4 linked regions of the Arabidopsis thaliana genome follow. The protein of the gene in region 1 interacts with the protein of each later gene in a pairwise test. Each region holds a gene or a part of one and is shown on either strand. Other genes may lie near its edges. The genes, in order: AT3G28220, MEMB12, AT5G19570 and DiT1.

Region 1 (6,810 bases):
CGTTGGCAATAAACCCTTTTGATGCTAATAAAATGTATTTGTGGAGTGAGATGCATAAATGTTTAGTATCTACTAGCTTGCTCAAAGGCAAGTTTCGGCGTCACAAGAAGTTGGAATATAGTAGCGATGGTCGCATTATGAGCTTTGCTGGAGACTGGAGCCCGTTTGAACACCTCTTTAACCCATGTTTCTCCAGGTTTGCTCTCCCGCATTGGCTGCATCGGATCCCTTCCTCGCCTCCAACCGACAAGCTTCGAATGCGAATAAGATTACGGAAAAGGGCAACTTAACAAAGTAAGCAGTAATTACTCAAACTGTTATGTTTCTGATATTATTTACCTTTCTTCTCTATACATGTTTAGAATCGTTTTGGCTGAGGATTTGTAGCTTAACTTTTATGTAAATCTTGTCGTAGGGCTTAACATCAGCGGCTTATATTTTTTATTTTTATTTTGTCTACAATTTTTTTATGAGATTTTGATAACACTAGAGATTGTAGGAAGAGCAAAACTTTTTTATTAACCTAAACTTCTTTAGGATAGTTAAGGAATCTTGAATTGTCTATTTGGACGTAAAGTTAAAACCATCCAGAGTTGGAGCTCCCTTCTTTAGTTTCCTTTAGGATAATCAATAAGTGTTCTGTTTCCAAATGAATGGTTTTAGAATCAATGTGTCTTTGTGACTTGTGATGCAAGCAAAGAGCCAAAAACTGTGTGGATAGGGTTGGATTTTCCTCTTTGATTTGCTACGTACGTTTTGTCATCTCCCTTCCAAGCCTTCATCAACTAGTAGAGAGTATTTTCTTTGCTTCTTATTTATTTCCTAAAAGGAACGAGTTGTATTAGATATTGGTAATTTTGATTTGCTTATTGATGATTGTTAAAAATACAATGAAAGAAGAGTATGGATTGGTTACATAGCTTAATTTACATAGAGTATACATGGCAGATATATTATACATTATGAATTGCTTGGTAGATCTATATGTATTATATACACTACATAACCAGAGAAATAATAGAGTAACAAACAGATGAAAGAGAGCAAATAACAAAGAAGCACTCGTGAAACTTAAGAACATGATCGATGTTTATTGTTGGTGCGCAAAGCTTGTTATTATTTCAAATTACTATCATACGCGCAAACTTATTCGGTTGATTTTAGAAGTGTTATTCCACGGTTAGTGTTAGTCTTAGTCGCAGCTAGAATGAAGTAAGAACAAGAGTTTTTCAATGGTAAATTAAGACTGCTTTTATTCTTAGTTTTCATTTATTTAAATAGGAAACAAGTACAAGAAAAGCTAGCTTGGAATCAACGATTTCTACAAACTAGGGAATTGGGAAAAGTGGGAGATAGGCTCCTAAACCTTAGGAAGACCAATCCTCCAATTATTAGCACAAAAACACTTAAAAAACAGAACACAATTGGTTCCAAGCTCTCTGGTTTTGCATTATGCAAAACTTAACTTGGAAAGTATTTTGTGTTAGAGAAATCTTCAAATTCAATCTCCATCTTCAATGTATCATTCACAAGAAGACCTTTAGAAGTATCCTTAAGATCAGCAAATGGTACAAACTTCTGGAATCCCCAACTGTTTGCTTGATCCGACCAGCTTTCAACTGTCATTAAGTTAGTGTTAATTAAACTCTAAAAGAAAAAAATTAATAGAGTAAGTAACATTAGCCACACTATTATGGTTCGATATAATTTACCTTTCTTCTCCATGTGTTTAGAATCTCTCTGGTTTATAATCCGTAGCTTAGCTTTTAGGTAAATCTTGTCATACGGCTTAACATCAACCGCAACAACATATAACGACAACGAGTTACCCTGTCCTTCGCCATCGCCACTTGGATACACTTTCAAAGCCCTAAGAGTTGTATATTAAAATATTGTAAATAGTTAATTTTTTCTTGAATCAGTATTAGTAAGCCTGCGCAAATAAACCTAATCGAATGTACCGAACTAAAATCGAAACAAAATAACAGAATCGAACGGAATCAAAAATTAAAAAATAATCAAATGGATACTAAATTCTATATATAACCGAAAGAACCGAAAGAACCGAAACTAAATGGCTACGTACCAAAATATCCCGGATAACCAAAATATCTGAAATATAAATATATTTCCAAAAATATTAGTTATTTTTAAACTAAATAATTAAAAATATTAGTTATTTTTAAACTAAATAATTAAAAATATATATAAAATAGTTAAAATATTCAAAAATAATCAAAAATATCCAAAAATAACCGAAATATCCAAAAATAATTAAAATATCCGAAAATATTCAAATCAAAATAACGGAATGGATACTAAATTTAAAACCGAAAGAACCAAACCGAAATTTCAAAATAACCAAATAGATAATAACTTTAGAACCGAAAAAACCGATAACGGAATGGATAACCGAACATCCAGGACTAAGTATCAATATGTGGCTTAAAGAATTTATGACATGAGGAACTCACCAGCTTCTCCCACCGATCACGAACTTGTCAGAGACATAGTACTGTTTCTCTAGTGACGAGAAATTGGGTAACGTCCATTTGTAAAGGCGGTCATGCAAACTCTTAGTGAATGAGAACACTTCCCATTTGTTAAAAACTTCAGTGACAAATACGTCCACACCGAATAAAACATTGTCACCGTCGAAAAGCCAACCAGCATTGGGATTAGCCACGTCGGTGTAGGGTCTAACATTACCATATCCCCAATATGGTTTGAACAGAAAAAAGCGTTTTGCATCCGTCTCTGTGTACCAAGACATGCGTTTGAGATTGTGTGTTTTTAAATGCAAATTTTGGCATTTGAAACTATGCAAACTATCAGCGTCTCAATTGTTTTAAATTTAAACGTTGAAAATTTGATTAATACAATATAGTTTATAAATAAGATATAAATAGGGCGTTCGGATGTATATACCTTGATATGTTAAGTACTTGTCCTCTTTCCGGTTATAAATGAAGAATTTGACTTCTGCGTAAACTTCTTTTGGAGAGTTAAGGAGTGTTGAATTGTCTATTTGGACGTACATTGAAACGTAATTAAGTGGAGCTCCTTCCTTAATGTTTCCTTTAGGATAGACAATAAGTGTCCTGTTTGCAAAAGGATATATAGTCTTACAATCAAATGTGTCGTTGAAAATTTGTGATGCAAAGACATATGCAAAATGTAGGATAAAATACTACTTACCAGTTGTATCCACCGGATTCAAAAGGACGGGATTCGTACTTCTCGGCGTTTGGAGAAGTGGCGAATTTTATGAAAGATTCGATTTTGAGACAATAGGTAGATGGTGGGATAACTCTCCATATTTCTCTCCTATCAGATAGCTTATGGGAGGACATTGGGCTATCGATAACGGCAATGGATGATGTTGTTGTTGTTGAAGGTTGTGTTGTTACGATTTTCATGAATTGGAATGCAAAGAAACAAGAAATGAAGCAAGCCAAGCCAATTGCTCCATAGTTTGTCTTTCTCTTCTCCTCTTGAAACATGTGGTCTTCTTTTTTTATCAACCCCTTTTCAGACATGTTTGGTTAAGTGACTGAATTGGTAAGTGTGACGGTTATAATTTATAAGCAAATGACTGGAATATGTAATGGAGTTAGTTAGATATATTTATCTACACACCAAAAAGGTGAGTTAGTTATATATGTATGATGAGTACCAACATTTATTTGGTATTTAGCTTTTTTTGTTTGGTATAAAGAGTTCTTCACCACAAATATTTATAGCGGAGGATCTTTTGTGCGTTCGATAAAAGTGATAATGTTATTATGAACAAGTTATATATTCACGTGTCTTGAGATTTCACGTCGGTATAAGATGGATTGCGACCAGATAAGATTTCTTGAGTTATCGACCAGAAAAGATTTGTTCAACACGTGTTTTCAAGAAAAAGACAAAAGTTTAAGTTGTACCTAAATTTAGCATGTAACGTCAAACACTCCAGACATAGCTTTAGCTAACAACAAGAAATGGACCCAAACGCTCTACACCACAACATAGTTTTGTTCTTCTGTTCCGATCCTAGCCTCTGTTTTTGGATTTAGCTTTAGCTTTAGCTATAATGTAGAACTTCAGTAATCAATACAAAGACTAAAAACTATATTTTATTATATACGTATCAAAACTATCGATTAAATGCTTAATAATTAATTTTTAAAAAATGTTTTTATTTGTAGAAAATATTTTTTATTAATTTATAGTATAATATATAATAATATTTGAGTTTTTATTTTATAAATATCTAGAATTTATAATAAATAAATTATTAGGAATGACCTTCCAATGCTACTCATTTTTAATTCTACCCTTTCATGTAATTCATTTTCATTACTCTCTTTTAATTTTTAATAACCATATATCCTTATTTTTTTAATGTTTAAAGTTAACAAAATAAAATTGTGTTTTTCCTACCAACAATATTTCGACGATAATTTTTTCGCCAAAAATAGTTTTTTTTGTTTGTACAGACGGTAATGTTTTTACATATGATGGAGGCCAGATTCACACACTTGTGTGCATGCAAGAAAATTTTTTTAATAACATGATGGAGTCGGTGGGATTGTCTTTGTTTGGGCAAAGGATACGGTATAAGCTTCCTTTTGAGAAGTTTATAGAGCTGAACCGTTGTATACTAGAGATGATATTTTCGAGAGAATGTGTCTAGCTGCAAAGTGGACAAAAGCGGTTGTTATATTTACGGAGAAGGAATAGATTCTTGAAGAATGTAATGATGAAAAGAGCTTGTGAAAACGTCAATGGTGAGAATGCTCGAGTTTGTGATGATGGAAATGATGTTAGAGGAGGTGATGATGAGAATGACATTTTTAATGTTGGAATCCAAGCTAAAAGTCGGCCACAAAACAACTTGGTGAAGGTCTGATACGTTCATGAGAAGTTGGCACGTGTGAGAACTGAAGTGAGAGATCGGAGTCACGTGTGAAGAAACTTATAAATAGTAAGAGTCTAAGAGAGAGTAGAGAGAAAAGCATCCTTCGTGATCATATTGATGTTGTGAGTAGAATTAGGGCTTATGCATGTGCTCTGTTCTTAGGAGATAAGATTGGAGAACTGTAACTTCAAGCTTATCGATTAGGGTTTTGATTCTTTGTAATTGGATTGATAGATAAGAAATACAAAGGATTACACTTTCATTCTTATCAAGGTCCGAATCAAGTATCACAAATTTCACTTAGTGATTAATTGTGTAAAAGCTTTTGGTTTGGGAAACTTATGATGTTCAGGATGATGGTTTTAATTTGGATTATCGGATTTATGTGTAACATGATGGGATGATGGTTTTGACTATGATCTCGGCTTCAAGATATAGATTATGGTTTTTGGCTATTTGTCTTGAATTTTTAATTTGTAGGATAATGGTTTTTGTCTTGTAATTGCCTCGGGTTTGGTATGTTATATACAACATTATTATGTTATTTATTCATTACTTTTGTGGAGAAAAGAGTGATAGAGATTGCTTGGTAAGAAAATAAACAGACACAGAAATTGGTAACCGAGTTCACGGCCTCAACCGCTACGTCTCGGGGTCTCGGGGGAGATCTCTTGCTCCCAAGCTTCACTAACTTGTGATGATGTCTTTTGGTTTTACAGATTTGCACTCAAGAAGAACAAAGATTCAAGAACAACAAAGAGGAAGAAGAAAGCTTGTTTAGGAAGCTCTTTTATCTCTCTTCTCTAGAACTCTTTTTAGATTCTTTTCTCACCTACCTCCACTATACGTCGTACGTTGTAATGCATATATAGGTGACTTAAATGAGCAACAAACTTTTGCCCACATTTTGTTCTTCTTCACCTTGCCAATTTCGTTGGCCCATTAAGGCCCAATGTTTGTGTTATGTAAAACCCAAACAACAACTTTCAATTGAAACTCAAACTCAATCCAATAAAATACAATCAGAACTCTTAACTCAACAAACTCATACTAACTTTTCATACTTAAAAGATGAAAACATAGACTACAAACCATAACTAAACTACACCCGATAAAATTTTTGAAGTAACGTCGAGATTGAATCTCTTTCTTACTACAAAAGTTCATGGCTTTGAGCTCTCCAATCTCCTTCTCACATCCTTTTAAAAATGCTTTGATGACTTCAATCTCATTTCCATAGCTACTTGATATGGTCACACATGTGCGTGTCTCACCTGCTAGACTCTCCATCTCAGCTCCCACATCATATAAACCTTTCTCTAAGGATCACACATCTACTTGTGTCTTGTAAACAACACTCTCAACCTCTTCCATCTCTTCAACCATAGCTATATCGGTCCATTTGAAACAAATGTCGATTAGCGTACAGCAAAATTGAGTATTATGTTAATGATATTAATCACATATTCTCTTTTGTTCACAAATCGATTTCAGCATTACCTCATTTAAGCCATACGAACAACAATTCAATCTTTGGGTTCTTCAATGTATATGCAATCTAGATTACAGACACTGCACCACATTTACATTTTCTAAGTAGTCTTCTTACTGAGTATTGGAACCGACCCAAAAAATTGGACCCAAAACCGAATCTAAAAATTTAGAAGAAACTTCCCAATGAAGTTAATATTAATAAAAACATTCTTCTTCCTTCTCTTACGAAATATTACTCATGAAAATATTAATCTTCTTTCTTGCAAACAATGGAAAATACATGAGAACATAAAGAAGGAATTGGTTGATGCAAACTATTGTTACAAGAGAAGAAACTAAAACGATCTAACTGATGGTGAAGATTTTGATGAAACAGAGCTCCCTCTTCCACACCCTTTCTGGTTTCTTAA
Region 2 (5,901 bases), on another chromosome or scaffold:
TACCAGTGACAGACAAATCAAGGATGGGAACAGAATAAGAAGAAAATAATACCTTGCAAAGCGCTCTGTATTCTTTTTGAAGACGCTTTATACAAGCTTTTTCTGCCATCTAAATGCTTCAGGGAGTTCCAATAAACTGTAGTTCCTGTCAACCAAAACAACGAATTGTAAACTGTAGAAAATATAATCCAACCTTTAAGTATGAAATGAATGACAGTAACATAAACCAAATTAAGGTCATCTTCGATAAAGAAACCATCCTGCTTAAGTCATACATCTGGAAAACTGACATGAACAAGCATGTATAATCTACTCCATGACATTGCCGTATAGTTAAGCTATTACTACAATCTCAAGTCACATATAGAGAAGCAACACTTCTTAAAGTATCTGTTCTAAATACAAATTGACAAATTGATACACACACACAAAAAAAGATCACCGTTCAACAAAATTGCCTAAACCCATGAAATTGTGATGAAAACAAAAAAAAAAACTTAAAATTCCAATTAAACAAAACAAACATACACACAAATATTTTGCAATCAGATAAAATTCCAAAACATATCAAAGAATATTCCCTAAAGATCCCTATTGATTTTGAGTCAATCAAGTTAATGAAATCTAAGAAAATCAGAAGAAAGAAAGAAAATAATCGGCGTACCAGTTTGATCAAAGTTTCGTTATTGGATGACCAAGTATAAATCAAAAACACAGGGAAGTGAAATCGTGACAAGGTAAGAGCAGATCCAAGGAAAGAATTGTGAAAATCGGAATCGATCAGGAGCTGGAGCTAATTTGAGATTCTCTTTCTCCGTGTGTGTTTCTCGTTGATTGATGATCAAATCATTCGTTTCTCATATTTCGACGCGGTACAGAGACAAGGAGAGAGGAAAGAGAGAGTGTCGAAATATCAAAAGGAGATTGGTTTTCCTTTAACCGGATCAAAATTATTCCAGTTGAGTCGGTTCTGTATTTAATTATAATTATCCTATCCCGGTTCGGTATTTGTCATAATCAGACCTTTGGGGAATTGACTATTTTGGTCAAAAAAAAACATTGACCATTAATACAATGATGCTAAAGTCAACTGTTTCGAATCACTTTAAATATGAACTGTCTTGAAGCTCATGTTAGTCGCCGAAGCAATGACCCAAACAAATGTAGTAGCTTCTGTGTTAAACAACGATTGCAGTCTCGGAGAAGTTTTGAACAAGTTCTCTTACACTGCGAGCAATACATCATTCTCGGATATAGGAGGAACACATCAAAAGTTGGGGAAGAAAAGTTGGCATAAATCGAGAGCATACTAGACGCAAATGAAATGGAGAATATGTGTACTAGTGTTTTGAAAATGTCTTGTAAGAGGTATAAACAAAACAAAAAAACGTGTTACAAAACTCTCTCCATACAATCTATGGTAATGTAATTAAAGTTCTCTGGTTCTAGCGTGTCCATCTTATGAAGAGATACAATATGACAAGCGTTGCGATCATACCCGCATATTTAATCCAGGTATCAACACGATTACGCCTCTCAATGAGCCTCAATACAGAGTTAGAGAGCCCAACAGTGTTCAGAACATCCAAAGCCTTCCTCTGCGCACTCTGAGAATTCAAAAACCCAATGTTAAAAAACTGTTTTCTTCATTGACTTAAAGCTTAAGTTAGGGTTTGGTTACCTTCAAACGATCCCTTTGTTCAGCATATTTAGAGAGAATAGCAACTCCACTTTGAAACGAATCTTCAAGCATTCTCTTTGAATTCTTAACAGAGTTCATTCCTTGAGCCTCCTCATCAAATATTTGCAAAATGTGAGCTCCTTCTCCACTCCCTCTACCTAACAAATCCGCTCTCTCTTTAGCTTCCAACATCTTCCTCTGATTCCTCCACATGTACTTCTCTAGACTTTGGTTCAAATACTCAGCCTCTTCTCCTACTTGTTCACTCTTCCTACAGCAAAAAAAATCCAAATGCTCAAGAGTTTAACCACTACTTCAGCTATTTTGATGATCTAAACTTCCTCACCTTCTCCAAAGATCACGCTGGGATTTGACAGGGATCGAACGCCAGAGACCGTCCATATTGGAACAAAGAGATTGAACCTCGGTAATGTCTCGTTTCACGGAGGAGGCGAGGTCGGTAGGATCAGAGTCGAACCTCTCCAACTTCTCGATTCCATTCCGAGCTCTTAGTAGAATCCTTTTTGCACTACTATATACCTCAGACAACCCTCCCACTGTCCCAGACGCCATTATACAAACCACAAAGTGACCAAGAACACCGCAGAATCTTCTTCTCTTTGCTGAATTATATCAATATCAACTTCTAATCTGGAACATATATACAAAAACATATTTAAACCAGTTTACTCAAGAATTAATAGTAATCTACATGACATTGACCTATAATTTGGCTCTTAAGTAAAACTTGAATCAAAAGTTAAGCACCTTTCAACAAGATTTGCATAAAACTTAAAATCTAATCCAGACAAATCACTCGATCACGAACCAGCAATTCGATCAAAATCCTAGAAATTATGTTAAGAAAACATCTAATCGGCAATTCATTTGATTCGATCGACTGAAACCAAGAAATTCAACAAAATCGCATTGAGAGAAATCTAAGAAAAGCTTTAGAAAAAATTTATCCGTGTACCAGTTCAATGGAGGCTTGCTTGGGTTTGGAATTTGAATTTGTTACACAAAGCAATTCGTGACCAGATCCGAGGAAAGTTTGTGAAAATCGGATGAGAAATTCTGCGAGGGATTAAAAAAGAATAGCAAGGAGTTGGTTTACTTAAACCGGGAACAAATCCCAATTAAGCAGACGCGCTTGGCTGGTTCTGTTTACAATTCGGTTTTGTAAACAAACACAAGAAATGTAACAAATTAATCAAAGAAAAAAAATGTTCTAAAAATCACGATATTTTTTTTGTTTCTAGTAATCACAATGGTTTCTCCCTTTTCATAAATGGCAAATCTCCCATAAAACCATCTTTTGTATTTTCTATTTTTTCATGGTTATTTTCCTTTATAAAAAAAAAGGGATATCATATGTACATTGTATGGTTTTTAGTATTCTCATAAAATAAAATGTCTTTTGAATTTAAAAGAAAAGAAAAACACTAAATATGAGTTCAGATTTATGAGCTAATTCTAAAAACACTAAAAAATCCGGCCGGTAATTTGAGTTCAAAAACACTAAAAACACTAAATATGAGCTCAGAAAAGAAAAACAATTCGACCGGTAATTTGAACAAAAATAAATAAATCCGAACGATAAAAAATTAAGGAATTGCTAATTAGCCTCTACGGGATCATTGGGGGATTGACACTATCATGGTCAAAGATTGATCAAACAAGCTGTCCATATAATGGTTTGATTAACATAGTTATTACTCCAGCAAGATTTAGCTTAAATACGATTTTTAGGTGTGTATATTTTAAAGTTCTTTTGTTTACATCATAACGTTCTCATAAAAAGTGGATATAAAAAAAAAAGTATATATATATATATATATATATATATATATAAGTTTCACTTTTTCAAAATTGTGCCAGTTGTAAAAGAAACGCAGCCCATGCTAATGAAAAAGTTCCAAGGTATAGTAGTAGTAGCTTCACCTAAAACAATTTGACAAAGATATATTCTTTTTATTATTTATTAGTTTCCGATTTTAATGCAAATAATTATTGAAAATTTGTATTAGTTTACATTGTTAAAAATATGTTTGATTAGAAGAAGATCTTAAATTTTATAAAACTTTCTCTAGTACGTAAAACTCAAACTCTCAAATATATGAAAATTTTGTTTTGCAATTTTCCCATGCAAGTGACTCAAGTCCCAAATATTTGACTGTCTTCTTCTCGCTCGTCCAGTCGTCCCTATAAAGCTTGTTAGGAAAACAAAAATAAAAATGAATGAAAATAATGTTGATGCCTTAGCAATTAGCATAGAGACAAAACACAGCCTGTTAATGTTTTACCTGCAACTTTTGAGATCTCATGAAGTTGGATTTACTAATATTGGTAAACACATAAATAAACGTGTATACATGTGCTTGTATGAAAGTGAGGACACTCTCAACATCAGTGAATGTTCCATAAATTAGTTGATTAAGATAAAAAAAATATCTCAGCATCTGAAATAAATGATTCGGAGAAGAAAAATTAATTCACGTGATCAGATCTCAAAAAAAGTCGCAGGACAATACATACATATCTTACAAAGCCAACAAGCTTTACAAGTTGTCTTTCTCTATCTCCTTCTCTTTAAGACTTTAACTCATCATATTTCTACCTAAAAGTTTTCTCAAGACCTAAAAGAGAATTCACAAATGAAGAGATTCCATCCATCAAGATCGATCTCAATAGCTCTGTTTCTGGTTTTGTTAGCTTTCTTTAGCAGCAAGTTTCACATAGAGGGACATAGAGATTTGAGAGATTTGCAAATAAGCAAAGAGATGAAGCAGAAGTCTCTTGGAGGTGAAGGAGATAGCTTACGGAAAATCCCGAGGAGTCGCTATAGCCCCATACAGAACAAGTAAGTACACGATCAAATATTTTCCAATCTTTTCACACACAAAAAAAACTAAATTATTTGAGATTTTGACATCAAGATTGTGTATTTTTGTACCAGGAGAGGTCCAAGTAGGAAACATCAGATCACATCACATGAACCATAGATTTCATCTCTAGTTTTTTATTTAGATCTTCTGATTTTTTGTATTTTTTTTTTGTTGTAGAATAGTATTGCCTACACTTGTTTGTGAATGCAGCAATGTAGAGTTTGATACTGTTACTATTCTTAGAATGTTTTTTTCTTTTCTTACTGGAAAGTCTTACTCTGATACTGTTCTATTGAGTCAAGGCTCTTTGTTTAGACCTCTAAGGAGTGTTTATTGGATTTTGTAGATTTTGCAACATCTTGAAGCTTATATTTGTATTTATTACTTGACTTTGTATCTGTTGTTTCACCGCATTTGTTCTTCCTCTGTTTTGTTCGATTTTCATCATGTATCTGCTCGTCTTGATTTCAACTGATCAGATTCTGTTGTCATAACAACAACAAAGAAATGGTATTGTAGGGTTTCAAATGAATGAAGTTAATAACATATATATCACCTCTCACAAAATGCCCTCGATGTAAAAAGAAACATGCACAAGAAAACTTGAGAAATTTCTTGAAGGATCAAACTAAATTAGTTACCGAGTAAATAGATGCCGTGGAACATTAGAGTTGTAAGTTACTGACTTACTAGTATGAGAGAAGAATGACTTCCTTTGTTCAATAAGATCATTGGAGATAAACTAATATAACCATATCTGTATACAAACTTTCATGAGCCACTACTTCTAAAATCGCCTAAAATGGATATTTAAAAAGAGTTGTAACAAAATGAAAAACTCCAAATCACATCATGGAAGCCAACAGAAAACGGTTTTCCAATTGTAGAAGTGATTGAGAATAAACAAACAGTTTAGACAGACATAAGAGATACTGAGTTACTGATGATGAATTCAAAGATATTTCATGTCATCCTACTAAATTTGTTTAGGGGTTTCTCACTTTTGTTTCTTTGTTTTTACCTTATGTTCCAAACTTCAATCTTACAGAAGCTGCAACAAGGATTGAAGTCCAAGAAGTATGCTTTATGTTACTTTGATAAGGAATAAGAATTTAAGAGCTTCAAGCGTGGATAGTTTAGTGTTGTTGTTACTTCTTCTCATACTATCTATGAATTCAAAACATGAAACAAATTTACTGCAATGTTGGAAGCGATCGTTTGTTTGTCATATCAACCATGATGTATCTTATAAAACAGATAATGTGTGCGAGGAAAAAAAAAAAAAAAAAAAACACAGATAATGTGTGCAACTTAAAGTAGAAGTTATTGTGG
Region 3 (4,899 bases), on another chromosome or scaffold:
ACGCCTTGAACTACGAATACATTCCTGAGGAGGGACAAAACAACAGGAAGCTCTTTGACTCATTGCTCCTCAGGCAAACAGACGACCCGGAAGAAAACAACCTTTACCCTTTCGTCTGGCTTAACACCGACGGTAACCTCTTCATTTTCGCTAACAACCGATCCATCCTTCTAAGCCCCAAAACAAACCAAGTCATCAAGGAGTTCCCTCAGCTCCCAGGTGGTGCCCGTAACTACCCGGGATCAGGTTCTTCCGCACTCCTCCCCATCCAACTTTACGTGAAAAACCCCAAGGTCATCCCAGCCGAGGTTCTCGTCTGTGGTGGTTCCAAACAAGACGCGTATTACAAGGCTGGTAAAAAAATATACGAACCAGCACTACAAGACTGCGCCAGGATAAGGATCAACAGCGCAAAGCCACGATGGAAGACGGAGATGATGCCAACCCCACGAATCATGAGTGATACTGTCATCCTCCCTAACGGAGACATCCTTCTAGTCAACGGAGCTAAACGTGGTTGTTCAGGCTGGGGATATGGTAAAGACCCTGCCTTTGCTCCCCTCTTGTACAAGCCCCATGCTGCACGTGGCAAGCGTTTCAGACAGCTCAAGCCCACCACCATCCCACGTATGTACCACTCCAGCGCCATCATTCTTCCAGACGGTAAGGTTCTTGTCGGTGGCAGCAACACCAACGACGGTTACAAGTACAACGTTGAGTTCCCAACGGAGCTTCGCGTTGAGAAATTCTCCCCACCTTACCTCGACCCGGCTCTAGCCAACATAAGGCCAAAGATCGTCACCACCGGCACCCCAAAACAGGTCAAATACGGACAATTCTTCAACGTGAAGGTCGACCTTAAAGAAAAGGGAGCAACCAAGGGAAATCTCAAGGTTACCATGTTAGCCCCTGCCTTCACAACACACAGTATCTCAATGAACATGAGGATGCTCATCTTGGGTGTCAATAATGTCAAACCTGCTGGTGCCGGTTACGATATCCAGGCCGTTGCACCACCAAATGGAAACATCGCTCCACCGGGTTACTATCTTATCTTTGCCATCTACAAAGGTGTTCCCAGCACTGGAGAATGGATTCAGGTCGTCTAATGACGATAATTTTTACCCATTTTGTCTTATGACCGTAACATCTTAATATAAAACAATCACATAATATCAGTTTTTTTTTCCTTCTATATATATTGTTTATGCCACCATTAATGGATCCAAATTACTTGTGTTTTCTTTCACTTCTATAAACTTTTCCGTTCATGTAAACCTTTTCGGTGAGTTTTTATGACTAAATTTTGTATTGGAGAAATTCTTTTATTATTACTTTTGGCTCTATTCTTTCTTCACTAGTTCGGTTTTGCGTATAAATCATTCGATGCGTTCATTGCAAGTCACTGTTTGTTTCATTGACTAGTAATGTTAATTACCTTCGATAATATTGCAGAGAGTTAGCTAAAATTCTCAAAAGATGGTACACAAATAGTTCTTTCGCAAAATAGATCTCACAGAAACAGAGTCACGGTTTTACAAAATTCGAATTTCACAGAACACAAAGCCAAATTCCAAATACAATAAAGCTCGTACCTAACAAAGCAAGTCCGATTTGAGTTTCTTCCCCTAAAAGGATCCCAAAAGCGGCGGTTGCGGCAAAGGTTGTGGCGTTAGTCACCGGAACGGCAAGAGAGATGGGAGCGTGACTGAGAAGGGCGAAGAATGTGGCGGAGGCGGAGAGGTTTATGAGGAAAGGAATTGAGTATTGCCAGAAGAGGAGGAGATTGATCCAGTCGCGGAGAGCAATCATGATTTTGCGGCGGATCTGAAGAGGAGGAGAATGAGATTCTGTTGTCGAAGAAGACTTTGTTTTATCCCAGGCAAGAGCGCCACGACGGATCAGAGCATTGGTGGCTCCCCATACGAGCCCTACCGCCACCATCTTATCCATGTCTTCCTTCATCGCCGGTGGCTGATCCCGATTTGCCTTTTCCGTTGTTCTGTGTTTTAACCACTAAATGTTGAGTAAAGGAGATCAAAAAGAAGAATTATTTGGATATCCAGAACCGACCCGAACCCGAAAGGTACCGAACTAAACCCGATCCGAAAAATTTAAAAATCCAAATAACGGACCCGAATACCTGAATAGTCCGGATGGTAAACACAGATCAATGGTATTATCACAAACCACTAAATTACATGTCGTCATCAAATAATGTTTCATTACAATACTACTACACTACTAGTCATTATCAATGAGCTTCAAAATCCATTAGGAAACAATGTTGTAGATTAGACGTTACAATACAAAACACCAAAGAACAAAAATACCAAAATATTGTTACACACTGAATCACACTTCCTTCTTAGAAAAAACAACAGGAAGCAATAGTCAAAACAAGCAACAATCATGATCAAACACCAAGTCTCATGTCCAAATCCTAAAACCAATGCCTGCATTGTTATATATGTACATTCTCACACACTTTAACCTTCTTCTATTCTCTCTCTCTCACTCTCTTTGTGTTTTTCTTCTTCTATGCCCTGTTCTATTACCTTCTCTTTTCACTATCAGTGTCTGTCACTAGGGCTTCTCATGTTCTCTAACTTTGCTAGATATGAAAATTTCTTCGGTAGAGCTCTTGGAGACTTCATCATGGGCTTCTCCTTCTCCTGCTCAACTTTGTGGAAGAATTCTATATCACTCATTGAACTATGCTTCTTAGTATCAGATGACAATCTCCACCCTATGAAGTCTGATAGTTTCCTCGAGTTTGGTGTTTCCGCTGCAACCACCTTTTCAGTTTCCTCGTATTCTGATTCTGCCTCGCTTTCTGATCTTGTCTCTGCCTCTCCCATCAACTGTCTTTGAACTAGCCGATCGGCTTCAAGAACATCCTCTATTCTTGACATTATCTTTGAAGCAAGACTCTCTAGTACCCTTGAATAGCTCTCCAAAATCGCCTGTCCAACATCCTGTAAGATCAAATCACAACAAACTCTTACTCAGTCTCACTACATTTTTGTTGATGTTTGTTTAGTCTTTGTTATGTTATGTTACCTTGTTGTTTTTAATCTTGGAGACTTCAAGGGAGGATTGTGGGATCCCAGGAAATTGTTGTTTGAGCATAACCAAAATGGTCTCAGCTCGGACTTCGAAAAGCTCCCTCTTCTCTAAGCTAACAGTGGATCCCCACTGAGATTTCCCGTCTTTCTCTTTCTGGCACATCTTCCTCTTCCAGATCACCATGGAAGCTTCAATCCTGTTCTTTAGATCAAGTACTTTGTGTTCCGTTGACAAATCCAAGAAAGAGACAAAGTAGTCAGGATCAAAGCTCTCCTCTGTTATGCTCTTGTAAAGAAAATCTCCCAAGCTTGTCTTCCCATTCTACATAACCAACAGCCTCATCAGCTTCCTAGCTTAGTGGAAATTGTAAAGAAACAGAACACTTTTGAAGAAGAAGTAAGTAACCTTTGGAAGGGAATCAATGTAGTTTTCAGGAACGTGCATTTCAGACAATACATGAGCATTGATGGCCGTGGCGGCTTTAAGGACTTGAGCCACAGAATCTTTCTGATTCTGCAACCATCTACGTGATTCCTCAGACAAGCCATCTGTTGGAACCTTAACAACTGGTAACCACCAGTTCTCATCCCTCCTCCAATCTCCATTGTGATCTGCATCCTCCATATCTCTTGGCACATACCAAAAGTCTTTCTGATCCTTGAAGTTGTCCAAAGTTTCCTGCCAAATGAGTAATTGCATTAGTATGATAAATGGTCACAACTCATCTATTTTTGTTTGTTATATATATATATCATGATCATTTTATAATACATGCACTCCTATATGAAATTAATTAATGAGATGGTACTCTTGGTGTTATGACGTTTTCAGTTATATTTATCTTTATAATTTGCAAAGATGACTATGACTTGTAGTATATATAGTAGTTTGTCCTAGTGTCATGGATATTGTTGCAAACAAAATATTTTTGAAACGATGTGGTGTTTGATATAATATAATGGTTTAATTTTTCCCAAACGTTGAAACCGCGGTTGAAACAATCAAGTAGTAATTAAACTCACGAGAAGAACCGAGTCAAGTTTGCGTAAAGCTGGAATGTTCGTCAGCAAATCATCTCTTTGTTTTGTAACCATGATCTACAAAGGAGAAAATTAGGGTTAATAAGAAAAATCGTCACTAGTAGACTAGTAGTTGTTATATATGTACGTAATTAATGACTAACAGTTGCATGCATTCACCTCAGTGAATTGGCCATTTTTACCCATTTGTCTAGAAGGAACAAACTGGACAATGTGATCAATCACAGATAATAACCAACCCATTTCTTTCCTCCAATTCTCTTTTGTCTCCGGATACATAGGCTGCAATTTCATCTGCTCTCCAAACATCGAATCTGCATGCCAATACCAAAGCCACATTAATTAGTTTGTGACTTATTTTAACCATTCAAATCGTTATTAGACATTTAATGTTTTAATCATATTAGTAGTGTTAAAGGTTTACCAGCGAGTTTGGTGATGGCGTTTGACAAAGCTAACGCAGAGGTCTCCCCTGTCCCACCGCCTGACATGTCCTCTCCAAGAAGCAGTTTTGCGAATCTTTCCTTCATCACTTCCATGTCTGAAACAGATATCAATACAAAGATTATGTAAGGAATCCAACATAGAATAATATTAATTAAATAGTTATCAAAAATATATAAATATTAGTTAAAGAACTCATCTTTATACAACGATATTGGTAATTCTACTCTTACCAATTGATTTTCAGATCCAACCCATGCATCTTACACAAATGCAATCTAAATGCAATTCATTATGCTATATACAATACATCTAATGAAGATATTAATACATCTAATTCATTGTG
Region 4 (7,097 bases), on another chromosome or scaffold:
CTCTTTTCTCTCTCTATTATAAAACAAACTTCACTCGTTCACATCAATGGATCCTTGAGAAAGACAAACAAATTGAAGAGAAATAATAACAATTAACTCAACCAAAAATATGAGGAAGCCAGAGGTAGCCATTGCAGCTAGTACTCACCAAGTAAAGAAGATGAAGAAGGGACTTTGGTCTCCTGAGGAAGACTCAAAGCTGATGCAATACATGTTAAGCAATGGACAAGGATGTTGGAGTGATGTTGCGAAAAACGCAGGACTTCAAAGATGTGGCAAAAGCTGCCGTCTTCGTTGGATCAACTATCTTCGTCCTGACCTCAAGCGTGGCGCTTTCTCTCCTCAAGAAGAGGATCTCATCATTCGCTTTCATTCCATCCTCGGCAACAGGTTTACATTTTTACCATCATTTTGGTTTTGACATAATAACAACAACTAAGAGATAGAATAAAATATGGAAACTAGTGGCCGGAAGATAAATATAAATGTTCTGGCAAACTAGCTTTTGTCTGGTGAGTCTTGTTTTTAAACTTGTGTAGCTTAATTTGTTTTCGGTTAATGGGTACAAAGTTAAAGCATAGAAAAGCCAGTCAACTGATTTTAAAAAAAAAGTCCACCCTAAAACGACCAAATTGTCAAATTAGATCTTGATAACGTTTTCACCATATTTTATTTGATTTTTTTTTTCTACCAAATAAATAAGAAGTGCAGAGCTATCTATTTAGAGGTATAATATCTATGTTTGTTTTAAGGACGAGTTTTCAATTATACTATTACATTAATCAGTAAAAAGTAATACTATATATATAAGATACGTTAACATCGTAAAATGTATAATCAAACTTACGTGGAAGGATAAAGTTTGGTCGAGTTTTCATTGGTACGATTAGTAACTGTTTAAATTCAAAGGGAAGAATGATTGTGTACGAAGAAAATTGACCCAAAAGAAAGTTGAATTAGAATAATAGTAGTAAGAATGGAAATAGACGCATAAAACCAAAATAGGTATGAGTACATTCACATGTAATTATGTGAGTGGTCAAAGTTCGTTGATCGTGGGTTTTAAGACTTAGAGTGCGTCTTATGATCTTATCTAACAACAAACACTTATTTTAGTGAAAGCGGCTTTTGTCACTTTACACACCTTTTCTTCTCTTCCTTAGGGTTTTACTTCAACTTTCATCTTTGTAATTATATATTTATTAGTTCCTTTTTTTGTCACTTTCTCCAGAAATATACGTTCTAGTGTTTTTTACGCAGGACATGTTTCCTCTCTATTTATATATATATATATATATATATATATATATATATATATATATATAGATTCAATTCAAAACACGCAGTGTGTATAATGTCATTTTATTGCTTAATATGATTGTGCAATTTTATAATTGTTGATATATTGCCTCTTTTTCACGTACTCAAACATAAAAAACATGAAGAACGGATCACTCTCTAATTCCCATGCAAACCATGCACTGGTATACATTTTACATAACATCATCTCATTAAACTATTCTACTCTCTTATTCTTCGATTTCATAGGTGGTCTCAGATTGCAGCACGATTGCCTGGTCGGACCGATAACGAGATCAAGAATTTCTGGAACTCAACAATAAAGAAAAGGCTAAAGAAGATGTCCGATACCTCCAACTTAATCAACAACTCATCCTCATCACCCAACACAGCAAGCGATTCCTCTTCTAATTCCGCATCTTCTTTGGATATTAAAGACATTATAGGAAGCTTCATGTCCTTACAAGAACAAGGCTTCGTCAACCCTTCCTTGACCCACATACAAACCAACAATCCATTTCCAACGGGAAACATGATCAGCCACCCGTGCAATGACGATTTTACCCCTTATGTAGATGGTATCTATGGAGTAAACGCAGGGGTACAAGGGGAACTCTACTTCCCACCTTTGGAATGTGAAGAAGGTGATTGGTACAATGCAAATATAAACAACCACTTAGACGAGTTGAACACTAATGGATCCGGAAACGCACCTGAGGGTATGAGACCAGTGGAAGAATTTTGGGACCTTGACCAGTTGATGAACACTGAGGTTCCTTCGTTTTACTTCAACTTCAAACAAAGCATATGAATATTTTTACGTCATCTTATTCTTTTTTCTATTGCGGTTTATACTCAAGATTCTTAGCCACACACACATAAATGCAAATATATATACATTGTTAGAGAGTATTTTGTATTTCGAATAATCTTTTCGTACTAGGGCTTGAGCCTTGAGGTGCCATGTAATGATTAGTCAATGTAAAACATATATCCTATAATAAATAAATAAAAGAAATAATAAGCACATACATTCTTTAATATAACAGGGGCAAACACTTGAAGAATTTTGTAATCAAGTAGCAATGGAGAAGATTGAACTAATTAAATGAAAGTTTTTCTGATGTTATATCTTTGGATAAAACTGAACATTTTGTTTTATTGAATGTACTTTAAAACATTTGGTAACTTTCTTAGACATTCACATTAGAAAGTATCCTCTTACATAAAAGAATCATGTATTCAATATTTGATGTCACACCTTACTCTAAACAAACAAATCAAAACTATGAACCATATAACACTCAAAGAAAAAAAAACGAGAGGCCGCTTAAGGGTTTACACTAGATTTAATTCCAAGCGAAGCCATCTCGGCCCATCTTGGACAATGTAATGAAAGCTACTATTCTATTGCCAGTTAATCTTTCATTGGACGATCCACTAGTAAACGCATAGTTTAAGATCTTTCAAAACCAAAAAACAAAGCTAATAAATCAATAGAAAATTTGTTGAGTGAAGGATTTTGCTTTGTATGTTTCGTCGATCTAAAAAGACCAAACCCAAACCCAAAATGGCTTTTCGTAAATATTTCAGCCAATAGGATGAGGTGACTGACCCACCAAAGACGGAGATCTCTATTTCTCACCTCACGATCTCATCTCATCATCACTCTCTCTCACTCTTGTCCGTATATTCCTTTTCTTAATCTCACCGTCCGATTCCAATCCAACGGTCAACATTTATCCAACTCTCTCTTTCCTCTTCTTACTCATTTCCTTCTTCACTTCCCTCTCCTCTTCACACCTCTCTCTCGCCGACGACGCTACAACCATGGCGTCTCTCGCTCTCTCCGGCTCCTGCTCTCTCGCTTTCCCTCTCAAATCTCGATCTCTCTCTCTCCCTCGTCCTCCTTCTTCCTCTCTCAATTTGACGAAACCTCTCCGATCTCTCGATTCTCGCTTCTCCTTACTCAAATCTCCACTTCCCGTCTCTTTACGCCGGAGATCATCAACTCTCGTTAAAGCCTCTTCCACCGTCGCTTCAGCTTCCTCTTCTCCAACTCCTCCTTTGGTTCCAGCTCCGGTTCCATGGCAAGGAGCTGCCATTAAGCCTCTTCTCGCTTCGATCGCTACTGGTTTGATTCTATGGTTCGTTCCAGTCCCCGAAGGTGTCACTCGCAACGCGTGGCAATTACTCGCGATCTTCCTCGCCACCATCGTCGGGATCATCACTCAGCCGCTTCCTCTCGGTGCTGTTGCTCTAATGGGATTAGGAGCTTCCGTTCTCACCAAAACCCTAACGTTCGCCGCCGCGTTCTCCGCTTTCGGAGATCCAATCCCGTGGCTCATCGCTCTTGCCTTCTTCTTCGCTCGCGGTTTCATCAAAACCGGTCTCGGTAACCGTGTAGCTTACCAGTTCGTTAGACTCTTCGGTAGCTCCTCCCTTGGTCTCGGTTACAGTCTCGTCTTCAGTGAAGCTCTTTTAGCTCCGGCGATTCCTTCTGTCTCGGCTCGTGCCGGTGGAATCTTTCTCCCGTTGGTGAAATCTCTCTGTGTTGCTTGTGGGAGTAACGTTGGGGATGGAACAGAGCACCGTCTTGGCTCGTGGTTGATGCTTACTTGTTTCCAGACTTCTGTGATCTCTTCTTCTATGTTCTTGACGGCTATGGCTGCGAATCCTTTGAGTGCTAATTTGGCGTTTAACACGATTAAGCAGACGATTGGATGGACTGATTGGGCTAAAGCTGCGATTGTACCAGGACTTGTGTCTTTGATTGTTGTTCCGTTTCTTTTGTATCTCATCTATCCTCCTACGGTGAAGAGCAGTCCTGATGCTCCTAAGCTGGCTCAGGAAAAGCTTGACAAGATGGGACCTATGTCTAAGAACGAATTGATTATGGCTGCCACTTTATTCCTCACGGTAAGTGTGCTTCTGCTTCATCGGATCTGTTCTTACTTATGGTGAGAGCTTGATTTGAAAGGTGCTTCAGTATTGAACATTGAGAGATTTTAGCTATTGTAGCTCCTTAGATTAAGCTAGGGCTTTGCTTCTGTTTAATGCATTTGCTTTGAGTGAAAATGTTTGTGGTTTTGGTGTTTTATTACAGAGAAGGTTTTCCTTTTCTAAAAAAGTGTTCTCCTTGACACAGGTTGGTCTCTGGATCTTTGGAGCTAAGTTGGGTGTAGATGCTGTGACTGCAGCCATTCTTGGATTATCAGTCCTTCTTGTGACAGGTGTTGTGACATGGAAAGAGTGCTTAGCTGAGTCGGTCGCATGGGACACACTCACCTGGTTCGCTGCTCTCATTGCGATGGCTGGTTATCTTAACAAATATGGTCTCATTGAGTGGTTCAGCCAGACCGTAGTCAAGGTTTGTTAAATGATTTGATGAATGCTTAATAAGCCTAATGACTTAGCATGCTAATGAAATGTTTTGACATTGTTTGGGTTTTGATTGCAGTTTGTGGGAGGATTGGGTTTGTCATGGCAGCTATCTTTTGGAATCCTCGTCCTCTTGTATTTCTACACTCACTACTTCTTTGCTAGTGGAGCTGCCCACATTGGTGCTATGTTCACTGCCTTTTTATCGGTTTCAACCGCTCTAGGCACTCCACCTTACTTTGCAGCCTTGGTTCTTGCGTTCCTTTCCAACCTGATGGGAGGATTGACCCATTATGGTATCGGGTCTGCGCCTATCTTCTACGGAGCTAACTACGTGCCGCTGGCTAAATGGTGGGGCTATGGATTCCTGATTTCAATAGTCAACATTCTCATCTGGCTTGGTGTAGGTGGTGCCTGGTGGAAGTTCATTGGCTTGTGGTGAGGACCACCATACACCAATCTTCCCATTCTTTTCCTTACTTATATATATAATCTCTTAGAACGGCTTTGAGATTCAGATTTGAGAAGGATTGAAATCAGGGTTATAAGGATTGAGCAGAGTTTTTCTGCAATTTTTATTCTCACTCACACACATTTTGAAGTGTAAGCAATCTTAACTTGCGTCAATTTTGTTTGATTTCTAACTTTACTGTTTCAAAGTGAGACCACCACTTTACTTGATAGTTACTCGACTTCCATAAACGTGTTAGTTGAGAGATTAATGTCTATTAGTCTATGAATCGCTGGTTAAAGTTTAGTGGAAAAAACAGGAAAGCAGAGAAAGCAATAGGAAATGAATGAATCTTATTAGCTGAAACAATATGTTATTATTTCTCATACAGTGTTCTTTGACAAATATGAAGGAGATATTAGAAACAATTGACAAACTGAGAGGATACAAAAAATGTAAATCAGAAATCCGGGAAGTAATAGAGGCGCACTTTGGCCATTGTTACAACAGAGATGATACAATAATTAATTTAATGAGGTGATAAAAATAAGAAAGTAAAGAAATTTCAGAAAGAAGCCTGAAAAAACTGAGCCTTTTAGGGTTATTAGAATCGAAAAAAGCTTACCCGGAGTTTGCTTTTGTTTCCGTTTGCTTTCTTGAATAATAAATAAACGAATCATCAGTTTCACAGCTTCACAGAAATGTGAACCTCTCTCTCGCAGCTGAGGCTCAGCGATCTAGGTGCAGCTGTTCAAGCCACGCATCAAGAATGTCGCTCTCACGAGTGTCACTGTTGTGAGGATTCACACTCGAACCACCTTGAGTCAATGGCCTTGCACCATTCATGTTCACAACACGGTTTCCGTTCCTAGGTGATGAAGAGTCTTTTAACATCTGCTGAGCCCATGAAACATCTGCTTCCCTGTTTGGGTTATTAGCCAAGGAATGAGATTTTCTCAACCGACCTAACTCATCTGATTGGACTGACCAATCCACCTTGCTTCCATGGGTCTGGTCCCAACTTGACCATGGACTTAATGGCGAACCAGAATCAGTCGGCATTAAATCACGGGGCAGACTAGATCCAAAATCACGGGAGCTTAGGCTGCGTGAATGTAGCTGCTGTTTCATTCGAGCATTCATTGGGGAAATAGGCTCTCCGCCTCGGGGTGACGAGGCTTGCTGCAGAAGAGAATGTTGCTCCACATTCTTTGGAGAAGACATTAGATTTGTCTTGATAGGAGAAAGCATGCTCTGCTTATTATTCTGCAGCTGATTAAGAAGCGCGGACTTGTGGGAAGGCGATAGAACAGATGAAACAGCAAGTTGATCAGAGAAACGAGGAGATGCAACCTCAGCTGAGAAGAGTTCCTCCAGATTTGAAGGGTTCAGTGTCTTAGGACGAGCGGAATGATTCATAAAGCGTGGACTGTGCATATCGCCAGCAAGCTGACGTTGCATTTCAAACTCATGCAGCATGCTAAGCTGCTCAGAAGGAATATCTCTAGCGTTAAGAGAAGATCTCAGACGACTCAACTGGATATTGCTTCCAGGAAGATTCAACGCCGGTATGTTCTGCTGAGGCCAACCCATCGATGAATGGGGCATACTACCATTTCCAGAAGGAGATATTGGTGGGGTGAACGAATGTTGAGCAGCAGATGGTGAGCCTGGTAACATGTTCAAAACTGACGCCATGTCCATAGTAGAGGCGGAAACAGCAGACGAAGCCCGAGGAGATGGCAATCCAGATCCTGTGGAAGGGTACAAGGGACGCAACTCCTCATTTGCGTGAGCAAAGAAGCAAACCCTTCGGTTGCAACCCATTCCGTCCTTGCACAATCGTGTTCTGTACTGAGCAGGGTGTAGCCAGCATTCAAAAACCCCATGAGCATATTCACACATATCACCTTGCTTACAGGATCCTTTCTTAAAATCCGGGCATGGAACACACGTATAGTGAAAC

What was found.
Region 2: the proteins of AT3G28220 (region 1) and MEMB12 interact in a protein complementation assay, tested with the Arabidopsis thaliana proteins (one large-scale study listed by BioGRID).
Region 3: the proteins of AT3G28220 (region 1) and AT5G19570 interact in a protein complementation assay, tested with the Arabidopsis thaliana proteins (one large-scale study listed by BioGRID).
Region 4: the proteins of AT3G28220 (region 1) and DiT1 interact in a protein complementation assay, tested with the Arabidopsis thaliana proteins (one large-scale study listed by BioGRID).

What each region holds. Positions count from the first base shown.
Region 1 is NC_003074.8:10,521,149-10,527,958, reverse strand, and holds AT3G28220 (TRAF-like family protein), read right to left. Parts: upstream 3,779-6,810; 5' UTR 3,540-3,778; coding exon 3,199-3,539; intron 3,102-3,198; coding exon 2,929-3,101; intron 2,758-2,928; coding exon 2,475-2,757; intron 1,871-2,474; coding exon 1,713-1,870; intron 1,620-1,712; coding exon 1,462-1,619; 3' UTR 1,226-1,461; downstream 1-1,225. Other genes in the region: AT3G28223 (F-box family protein), read left to right, coding at 1-290; AT3G28216 (uncharacterized protein), read left to right, coding at 4,535-4,681; PMZ (zinc finger (AN1-like) family protein), read right to left, coding at 6,736-6,810.
Region 2 is NC_003076.8:20,536,199-20,542,099, forward strand, and holds MEMB12 (membrin 12), read right to left. Parts: upstream 2,799-5,901; 5' UTR 2,658-2,798; intron 2,362-2,657; exon of another isoform or gene 2,333-2,361; 5' UTR 2,255-2,332; coding exon 2,028-2,254; intron 1,953-2,027; coding exon 1,682-1,952; intron 1,608-1,681; coding exon 1,446-1,607; 3' UTR 1,228-1,445; downstream 1-1,227. Other genes in the region: UBC33 (ubiquitin-conjugating enzyme 33), read right to left, coding at 53-109; AT5G50443 (uncharacterized protein), read left to right, coding at 4,339-4,544, 4,641-4,686. UniProt on the Arabidopsis thaliana protein: Involved in transport of proteins from the cis/medial-Golgi to the trans-Golgi network.
Region 3 is NC_003076.8:6,603,805-6,608,703, reverse strand, and holds AT5G19570 (uncharacterized protein), read right to left. Parts: upstream 2,141-4,899; 5' UTR 1,966-2,140; coding exon 1,552-1,965; 3' UTR 1,383-1,551; downstream 1-1,382. Other genes in the region: AT5G19580 (glyoxal oxidase-related protein), read left to right, coding at 1-1,109; ROPGEF10 (ROP uanine nucleotide exchange factor 10), read right to left, coding at 2,574-2,978, 3,064-3,390, 3,475-3,747, 4,092-4,166, 4,269-4,423, 4,534-4,650.
Region 4 is NC_003076.8:4,057,952-4,065,048, reverse strand, and holds DiT1 (dicarboxylate transporter 1), read left to right. Parts: upstream 1-2,759; 5' UTR 2,760-3,129; coding exon 3,130-4,218; intron 4,219-4,447; coding exon 4,448-4,669; intron 4,670-4,759; coding exon 4,760-5,122; 3' UTR 5,123-5,198; coding exon of another isoform or gene 5,199-5,199; 3' UTR 5,200-5,470; downstream 5,471-7,097. Other genes in the region: MYB46 (myb domain protein 46), read left to right, coding at 110-390, 1,549-2,110; AT5G12850 (CCCH-type zinc finger protein with ARM repeat domain-containing protein), read right to left, coding at 5,861-7,097. UniProt on the Arabidopsis thaliana protein: 2-oxoglutarate/malate translocator involved with DIT2-1 in primary ammonia assimilation and in the re-assimilation of ammonia generated by the photorespiratory pathway.